Coturnix japonica: one gene and its partners. The protein of the gene in region 3 interacts with the protein of the main gene of each other region in a biochemical or structural test. Links are inferred from orthologs where the notes say so. Each region holds a gene or a part of one and is shown on either strand. Other genes may lie near its edges.

The links.
Region 1: the proteins of GOPC (region 3) and SSTR5 form a complex in vitro, tested with the Homo sapiens proteins (2 studies listed by BioGRID and IntAct, with this or other methods). The link is inferred for Coturnix japonica from reciprocal best matches to the Homo sapiens genes GOPC and SSTR5.
Region 2: the proteins of GOPC (region 3) and RPS6KA1 interact in a test that uses a peptide from one of them, tested with the Homo sapiens proteins (2 studies listed by BioGRID and IntAct, with this or other methods). The link is inferred for Coturnix japonica from reciprocal best matches to the Homo sapiens genes GOPC and RPS6KA1.

Annotation. Positions count from the first base shown.
Region 1 is NC_029529.1:5,617,046-5,620,108, forward strand, and holds the end of SSTR5 (somatostatin receptor type 5), read right to left. Parts: intron 2,597-3,063; 5' UTR 2,533-2,596; coding exon 1,420-2,532; 3' UTR 573-1,419; downstream 1-572.
Region 2 is NC_029538.1:142,869-146,070, forward strand, and holds the end of RPS6KA1 (ribosomal protein S6 kinase alpha-1), read right to left. Parts: intron 2,212-3,202; coding exon 2,089-2,211; 3' UTR 550-2,088; downstream 1-549. UniProt on the Homo sapiens protein: Serine/threonine-protein kinase that acts downstream of ERK (MAPK1/ERK2 and MAPK3/ERK1) signaling and mediates mitogenic and stress-induced activation of the transcription factors CREB1, ETV1/ER81 and NR4A1/NUR77, regulates translation through RPS6 and EIF4B phosphorylation, and mediates cellular proliferation, survival, and differentiation by modulating mTOR signaling and repressing pro-apoptotic function of BAD and DAPK1.
Region 3 is NC_029518.1:57,644,611-57,648,267, reverse strand, and holds part of GOPC (Golgi-associated PDZ and coiled-coil motif-containing protein), read right to left. Parts: coding exon 3,652-3,657; intron 3,217-3,651; coding exon 3,036-3,216; intron 2,532-3,035; coding exon 2,413-2,531; 3' UTR 1-2,412.

The DNA of each region.
Region 1 (3,063 bases), on a different chromosome or scaffold from region 3:
TTGTACACTATCAGGCTGATATTTCCTGCTGCTGCTGGGGCCCAGCCATGTCCCCTAGAGACGTTAAAGGCCACCAAAGGTTGGAAGGAATAGCTGAGATGCCCCCTCATTTCCTCTCACTGACTTGCATTCTATTACATACAAATGAATTTCCTTGCAGGACTGTTTGACCTGCGTGGGTAGCAGCAGTGGTAGAAAGCAATTTCTGAAGAGATTAAATAGCTTCTGCCTACATTAAAACAAACCTGTAATTTGTTTTCATCTTTTCACAGTAGAAGATCCCTCACTTAACTGTGCAAGTGTTTCAGGTCAGCCGCGAGACAGAAGTCAGACCTGCACACTGCTCCTTGTTCCTTATTCTGCTGTACGGTCTCACATCAGTCATTTGATCTCTGTTTATCCATTGAGCTCTCAAGCACCATAAGACACAGTGACTTTGGTGTCTGAGCAGGATGGAGGTTCCCACATTGAACCCAACTAAACTCTATTGTGTCCACATTGAGGTAAGTCTCGGCTGTACCTTTTTGTTTGCATTGCCAAGTGTTTGAGGAAGCTACGCAATGGAAAGTCAAAAAGGTGTTGAACTTGTTTTAATTTCTGAAAATACAGCTTAAATTCACATCCATACTTACATTCAGAACCAATAAATATACATAACAGCTTGCCAGCACTTCACAATCATTTTGACTTACATAATAATAAAGTGGATACATTACATTTTATATGCAGTTTGGTTTAGAATGTGAAAGTATTACAAACATGTTGTATCCTTCCAACATTTTTCTCCTACTCTTTTTTTGTTATTTTAAATATATTATTTATTATTCTTTCTTACTATTCGAAAGACTCCCAAATACTTTTGAGATTTATACGGATTAATAACAGTAGAACAATGCAAATGGACTACACAGCACTCTAAAACAATGGATTTTACATAATTTCATGATCAGTGCTGTGACCTTTTCTGTGTGGAACTTCTGTTGAGAAATAGTGTCATTTCTTTGAAGAGACCCCTCTGAAGGCTTTCAAAGGTATTTTCACAGGAATTATTTGAGATGTTTTCTGTTTCGAGCTGACCCCAGCCACGAGCTCAGCTTAACAAAGTGTATAGAACACATTTTGTGTTGTTTTGGATTACTGGAGGAGGACAAAGCTGGCAGTGGGTACCAGTAGATTGGTTCTCTAGAGTACAGGAAGCAGTAACATACATCTGACTGCCTTAATTAAAACACCGCGAGAACTTCACACAGCTCAGTATAACCCAGAGCACTTTTAGCTGTGAAAGGGAAGGGAGTGAAAAGAAGACTCCGTACATTCATTGGAGCTGATGGGCCTCCAGATTTTAGTTGTGATTTCATCCTTCCCTTAAATCTCAAGTTCTCCAGGCCTACAAGTGCTTGGCAGTCTCACACCATGCCCTCACACCTTGCTAGTCTGCATGTGTCCATTGTACTCAATATTCCTCTGGGTTAACATTGATTCCTGCAAGCGACTGCTGTTCTCTTGCCTGTGTTCAATGGGGTCACCATCCTCTACGCCATTGCCCTTCCGGAGGCAAAGGACTTTCTGAAAACTCTGCTTGAAGTTGTCGGAAAGAAATCCATAAAGAATAGGGTTGGCACAGCTGTTCGCATAGGACAGAACCACCACGAAGAAATACACCCCCACCAGCACAGGGTCTTCTGGCAGTATAAATATCAAATTGACAATGTTCATCATGTAAAATGGGAGCCAGCAGAACACAAAGACAACCACAATGATCACCACCATCCTGGTCACTTTCCTCTCCGATCTCCTGCGCCTTGTAGACCCAACTCGAATCCCTGAAGATTTGACTTTAATCACAATCAGCAAGTAGCACAGACAGATCACCAACAAAGGACCAAAGAACCCAAGGACTGATGTATAGATGATGAACGCTGCAGACCAGATGTTGACAGGCTCTGGCCAGTTCATGTTGCAGGTGTGAAAGTCTTCCTGCACGTCCGAAAAGATAAAGACTGGAAGCACCACCAGGAATGAGAACGTCCAGACAGTCATACTGATGAGTTTGGCCACCCTGGGACGTCTCCACTTGGTTGATTTAATGGGATGAACTACTGCCAGGTAGCGATCCATGCTCATCACAGTCAAACAGAAAATACTTGTGAATTGGTTAATACCATCTACAGTCATAACCAGCCTGCACAGAAAGGAGCCGAAAGGCCAGTAGGAGATGGCATTTTGTGTGGCCAGGAAGGGCAGGCCCAACATGAAGAGTACATCAGCAACAGCCAAATTCAAGATGTAAATGTTGGTGACAGTTTTCATCTTGGCATAACGCAAAACCACATATATAACCAATGTGTTGCCACTGAGTCCAACTGCACATACCAGGATGTAAAAGATGGGAATCAGGACTTTGTGGATGTATTTGAATGGGAGCTGCTCTGAGAGTGTCCCATTCTCTGTTGTATTTGTCAGCAGCGAGGAGTTCAAATCACTGGAACTTGAGTCCATGTTAAATGTGTTGGAAAAGTATAAAGGATCCATAACTGTTATTCCCCAGTTCTTCTTTTGAGGCTAAGAGAGATTAAACTTCATGGGCATCTTGTTCCTAAAAACAGGAAGGGAAAAATAAAGAAAAAGAAAGGAGGGGAGAGAAAGAAAAAGTGAATTAATTCAGAGATTCATCATTTAGTTTCCTAACTGTCGTCAGAACTCTGTTTGAATTATACATTCAGCACATAGGATAAGAGCAAGGCCTGGACAAAGGAATCTCATAATGAGAGCCCAAGTGATCACACACAGTTGATGGTTTCTGTTTAATTCTAAGGAGCTGCATGCAGTAACACAGCAAGCATCCCACTGGGAAATTCAAGAGAGAGGAGAGAGCGTGATGGCCATCACAATTTACAATCAGAGATAGCAGTTTTCCTTCTGTGAACTGGGAGAAAAACATACAAACCCAAAACCTACCTCCCCTCTTAGTTTTCTGTCTACAGTCTGATACAGAAAACAACTTAGAAAGTAATTTTAGACCACACAGTGAGTACACATAAGGCGATCTGAAAGCACCACCCC
Region 2 (3,202 bases), on a different chromosome or scaffold from region 3:
GAGCAGAATTAGTATTAATGGCAGGTGTTCTGGCGCTGCACAAAGGAGGAAGGCAGCAAGTGAGCTGTGCTGAGTGGCGAGACAGCTTGATGTGTTAATAACCAGAGCAAGAAAATGGAGTGGCAGTAGACCTCCAGCTTCCATAGCATGAATGAAGGTTTTATTCATTGCCTGCCCTGTACTTGAAAAAGATGTTGATATATTTAAAATGTTGTCTTTGCTTTCAAAAGGAGATTACGTTGTTGAATGTTACATGAAAGCACAGCACTTGCCCCACATCCTGGCGTGTGCCTACAACTCCAGAACATCCTGAGGCCCTGCTGGGGGCTGGTGGCACCTTGAAGCCAACCCATCTGGGGCTTGTCCCAGCCAGTGACTGGTGGCAAAGCTGCAGGAAGGAGTTAAAACTGCATAAACATCATATACAGGTGGGGTCTGGCAGAGGGTACATGGAGCTGTGCTGCATTTCAGTAAGGAAAAAAGATGATTGCTTAGAGAGTTACCAGACTTCACTTTCCAAACAGCCCAAGAACTCACGGTGGGAACAGCTACCAGGCCAAAAAGCATTTATTTATGCTCCATTTAATTTGACAGGTCAGTACCACATCATTAAGAGGAAGGCACGGCTGCTTTACGCAGTGGGAAGAAGGAAAACAGTCTCTCAGCTGGGTCAGCCCTTCTGCAATAGAAAACATTGCTGATTTATGCTCCCAAATGGGAAATCTCAACCTTTCCTACTCAGAAGCTGCATTTACACAGAGAGAGATGCTCACTGCTATCTCCAGGCCACGTGGCTGTGGGTTAACACAGTACCCAGGCACAGCTGAATAATTCCAGGTAGACTCCGTGATTAGAAGCTGGATCCCAGACTGCATCTTTCCAAAGCTTTCCTTCAGATCTACAGGACAGCAGGTTGAAGGAGCCCTGCTTTCACTCTGAGTAATGATGTGACCTCCATTCAGATGATAGCAGTTAATCCCTCTATATTTTGGGAAAGGTTTCTAATGCTGTCAGAGAAAACCACAAAGGGAGCAAAGGGCTGCCCGGCCACACAGATACCCACAGCTCTCATACACAGAGATCAACACATCCTTTTTTATTGAGCAGTGGAATTAAAAAAGTAACAGCACTTGGTTGACTGGGAACTAATAACCAAAATTTGCCAGTAGCAGAAATTCGCACAAGGATCTTTGCTGACTTCAGTCACACCCTCGTGCACCTGCAGCCTCTGCCATTCTGCTCTGCCAGCACTGGGGCAGCTCCAGCACTGGCCTGCAGGTGAGAGTGGGCCTGGGATTTACTTCTAGCACAGTTCACCTCAAAGTGTTGGGTTCTATTAACACTAAAATGCCCTGAGAGAAGGAGTTCCCCTCCGCAGCCCACATCCTGCCATCTTTCCTTTTGATTCCTACCTTGTTCCAACTATTTCTCATTATTTCCCACTGCAAAGTGGTGTAATACACCTGAGAGGAGGTGGCCCAATATGCAGCCCTGCTACAGTACTGCTGGTTTGCCTGTCACAGGACAAATGACACAGCTCTGTAGATCTGTGTGCCCTGGTGGCCAAAGAAGGCCAATGGTAACCTGGGGTGCATTAAAAAAACATGTGGATAGAAGGACGAGGGAGGTGATCATGCCCCTCTGCCCTGCCACATCTGGAACACCATGACCAGTTCTGGGCTCCAGGCCCTTAATCATCTTTGTGGCCCTCTGCTGGACTCTCTAGATGATTCCTACCTTATTTGAAATGATGTAGCTACAAAAAATATCTGTCCCTACGTGGGAAAGGGTGAATCAGAGCTGCTTCTTAGTGCCACTTGACATCAGTTATACATTCTAGTTCTCATGTACACAGATGGTCGTCTTTAAAAATCAACAATTTACACTTCAAAAAAGTTTTACAGTGAAGTTCTTTCAGCAAAGATCAGTCCACGCAAGGAGGAGCCAGTCTACTGCAGGCAGAAGGCACTTGGCCTTGACGTAGATTTGGGAACAAGTCCTCAAGGGGCAGGCACCGACTGCCCTATGTCCTGCCACACCTCAGTAGTTCTGCAAAGTCTGGTGTAACCACCCCACACTGCCCCATTCTCACAGGGTGGTGGAGGGGAGCTTCTTCACCCGCCGCTGTGCCAGGATGGAAGACTCGATGGGTTTCAGCTGGGGGCTCGGCTTGGAGCTGTTCAGTGCAGAGTATGTGGCAGCCATTGCCCCCTTGGAGAGAAGACACAAGAGTGATCACTCAGGTGTGGGAGATGCTTTACAAGAGGAGGGAGCAGAGGAGCCAGAATCAAAGCCAAGATCAGATTGCTTTTTTTTCTTTAAATCTCCATCCCTCACTGACATGCCATTCATAGAACGATAGAATCACTGAGGTTTGGAAAAGACCTCTAAGATCACCAAGTTCAACCCCCACCTATCCCCACCATGCCCACTGACCATGTCCTTCGGTGCCACATCTCTATGTTTTCCAAACACCTTCAGGGATTGTGACTCCACCACCTCCCCTTGTAGAGAGTGATGAGGTCTCCCCTGAGCCTCCTCCGTATAGAACATCCCATTTCCCTCAGCTGCTCCCCATAGCACTGTGCTCCAGATCCCTCTCAACTCCATTTCCTTCTCTGGACATGCTCCAGGGCCTTGATGTCTTTCCTGTAGTGGGGGGCCCAAAACTGAACACTTGGGGTGCTGCCTCACCAGTGCCATACAGAGAGACAGTCAATTCCTGCTCCTGCCAGCTGTGCTACTGCTGACACAGCCGAGATGCCATTGTCCTTCTTTGCCATCCGGGCACTCTGCTGGCTAATGGTTGACACCTGGCTGAACAACACTCCCAGGTCCTCTTCTTCCTTGCAACTCTGCCTTGCTGCCCCAAGACTGTAGAACTGGCATGGGTTTATTGTGACCAAAGTCTTGCTGAATTTCATCCCATTGGCCTCAGCCCATTGATGATCTTGTCCAGGTCCCTCTTTAGAGCCTTCCTACCCTCATGCAGATCAACACTTTTTCCTAGTCTGGTGTCATCTGCAGAATTCCAGAGGGTGCACTCAATCCCCATGTCCAGCTCATCATAGAAGATATTAAACTGGGCTGGCCCCAGTATCAGCTCCTGGGGAACACGATCTGTGACTGCCACCAGCTGGATCTAACTCCATTCACCACCACTCTCTGAGCCTATCTGTCCAGTCAGTTTTTCAGAGAACCT
Region 3 (3,657 bases):
CCCTCTGTTGATCTCATAAATAGATTAAAAATAGATAAAATAACACAGAAAGGGTCCGGTAACTTGCAGATGATAAAGTGTACAGGATCGTAACAAACAGGTGGACAAGGAATGTCAGGAAAATAACTCCCGAAATATTCTCCCACCTCAGGCTGAAATGGATCAATGGACTAAATGGAAAATGAGCTACGCCTGAAAATAAGGAAGATCAAATGAATAAGGAATTTAATCTTTCCCTCAGATACAGGGAAAGTGTGCAGGCAAATTCAGTGCTTTTAAAAAGCTCTTAGACTAGTTGGACCAGCCTCACATCTTACAACTGCAGCAGAATTTTATACAGCTATGATTTTCAAAGACGGTAAAATTACTACTTGGCTTCAAATTACACTCTCTGCCAGGGAGCACAGAGTGTTCTAGGCCACTGGCCAGTTTCAGAGTGCACTCTTACTTTACTAACTGAGAGGGGAAAAAAATAATAATAATAATTAAAAAAAAAACAAAACCACACAGTAGCAGTGGATTTATCTGCTAATTTGTACCCAACATGCCTGTAATTTTTGATGCATCAGAAAAAACATATCTATGTCTGTTGACCTGTTCCTTCTTTACACAGATTCATTTTTAAATACTAGTGCCTGTGTGGTGAAAACTGTACAACTTGTCTATTCTAAAAGCCTTCAAACAGTATGCCATATGACAAGGGCTATTACAAAAAATGAACCAAATAACTCCACTGAGTGAATGGGACTCATGCGTACAAGCACACACACAAAACAATCTTGTAAATAGCAAAGTTAAGGGATTTATAAATAGAAAAATCTTTGAATAAAGTATATACATTTTTAGGATTTTTCTATTAACATATATATAGTGCTCCTATGAGAAACAAGCAACCGTGTTCTACATCACAATTTTGAAGGTCAAATTAATTGATGTTACTCTAAAGGCCATCCAAGTTTTTCCTTAGGTACGTAATATCCTACATACTAACACTTCCAAAAATGTTTTTTTCACATTAGTTCCACTGTCAAATAATAAAATCTTTTCACATTACAGTCCAACAGCCTGCAAAGCAGTGAATAGGAAAGCTATCTTAGCTGTCTGAAATAATAAATGTGATTACGAAGAGAGTTTGTATATGAAAAAAAAAGTTGCATTTCACCTAAAGATCTACAAGGTCAATTCTTGTACATCTACAGTTATACAAGAAACTGGCCAAGAAGCTGTCCTCAGCATCTCCATTTGCAACCATGCCATGGGCCTTTAGATGCACACCAATTAAAAGCTAGTTTCAGATACACTGCCATTACAAAAACAGTATCTTTTCTCTTTCAACAGTAAGACAATTACAGGTTAATACAACTGCCCAAAAGTAACAGATAGGGCCAGACACTGTACAATTCTGAGCAACTCTTATAAAGTACTGTGCACTTTATTTTCACTTCTTTAAAGATTATTTTAATCTGAAATATGTTCAGTACCTATTGAGAGTACTCAGCATTTCTTAAGCTCAAGCTAATAATGACCAATTCAGATGACTCCACACCAGTAGTAACCAAATCCATTCAAGAACGCACACTGAACTGATGATGTTCAGACACAATACCAAAGGGCACACATAACTGTGGATGTCTTTTAAAACTAATTATGTTTGTAAAACCCTTTAATACCATGTTTAAATACGCTTGGAGCAGTTTTCATATGGAAGAATTAGCAGTGAATTAATTAAAAGAATAATATCAAAAAGCACACCCATAATATTATCATGGGTCATAGCTAGTAAGCACTCCATTGCTGAATTTGGGTTTTGAAGACCTTGCTTAGTAACAAGGTTTTGCTATTTTGAGAGGAAAAAAATAATACAACCAAAAAACAAATGAACAGAAAAAAAAACATTGTTTTTGAAAGTTATAAATCAAAATCTCCAAGTGGAAAATTCAGGTATGCAACAGTACAATTCTCCCTCACCTTCCAGAGTCAAAGCTTGTTTCACAACAAACTGAACACTGGTTGTCCCTTTAAAACATCAAGGGGTTAAAATGAAGCTGGTCACATCTTATCCCCCTTCCTTAGGGATATAAAAGAAAATAAAAGCTGAAGGTATTGAGGTTATCCTTTTTAGAAATCCCATGCTTTGGTGCTTATTATTAAAAGGAAATTCATTTTACATGCAATGTGTTAAGTAGCCGTTGTGTGTCAAGGAAAAGACAGTTCTCCACGCTTAAAATTGCTCACAATGAAGCCCTGAGGTAACTGCCTTTTTTCCAGGCAAAAGTAACAGTTCCCTTTGACTTTTGATTACCCTTTTACAACCTACATTTGTGTACGCAAACTCGGAGCAGTCAATATTGATTATCAGTTGTTCCCAAAGATGGGATCTGTCCAGTTGTTTTTGTTTGTTTCTTTCTTTCTTTAGGATAAAGACTCAGCAGAACGGGTTAATTTGGGTGCAGCATCTTCTAATGAAGCTTCAACTGAATTCCCCAGGTCTCCATTTTCATGTCCATCAATACTTGGTTTCTTATCAAACACTGCAAGTTAAGAAGAAATTTTATTTAAAGAGAAGTAATCTTGGGAATAAAAGATTAGTGAGATTTATTTCAGAAACTAGAAAATGTCCTGAGAAGACTGCTAAAAATACAAGCTCATGTTTTCAGTAAAACACTATGGAAGGAAAACATAAATTCTTGACAAACATCTAAAAAAACATACCTGAAGAAGTGAACAATACAAAATAATGGCTCACAGGGTATTAACTACACCTAGACTAGTCAGGAAAAAATAAGAACAATTGGGAAAAAGTGATCAGGAAAAAAAACAATACACAAAACACAAAAAAATTATCTAATTCAGTTTTATCTAAGTAAACCAAGCCAGTGAGTAAGGGGCCAACCAAAAGAGCTGACAACTTACTAGTAGGTTAACTGAATTAACAGAAGATAAATGTTACAATTAACACAAGAACAGTGTTCTCCAGAAACTGGTTTGTATACTGAGACCTCAGAATTAAATACAACGCTTTTTAGAAGGCTTACCTTGTGAGGGTTTGACATCCACATTTACTTCTTTCCTACTGGAACCTGAATTTTCTCCTTCTTCCAGTTCATCAAGATATAAACGATAACGGTGTCCACTCTCATCCTCATATTCTACATTTTCATCATCCGAATCAACTTCTGGAGCAACATACACTACTTCAAATTCAATCTCGCCTCTCTAGAACAAAACCGAAATAGGAATATATTCAAGGGAACATACTAATTGTCTGAAAAAGAGAAGCAATGCAGCAACAAGATTCTAGACCACAAAGCATATCAGAAACATTTTCCATTTGGGGCTGTCCACTCATAAAATAATAGACCAGGTATCACTAAATAATTATTTCTATGGGGAGATTTAACAAGAAGATTTCCACCAGCCTTACAAAAGAATCATTGGCCAACACAAAGGTTTAACAGAACAGTATTGACCCAGCCCTTTTCTCATAAACTGTAAGACATAGGAGGACTCACTGTAAGGTGATGGAGCTTCAGGAATTACCATAGCTTAGCATAATACTGTTTGATTGAAAACATTAAAAGTCAAGGCAATGCAATAGGCAGAATAAAGGAAGTGCATAAATTTGCCTGTGGATAACAGGCCCCAACTGACCTGTTG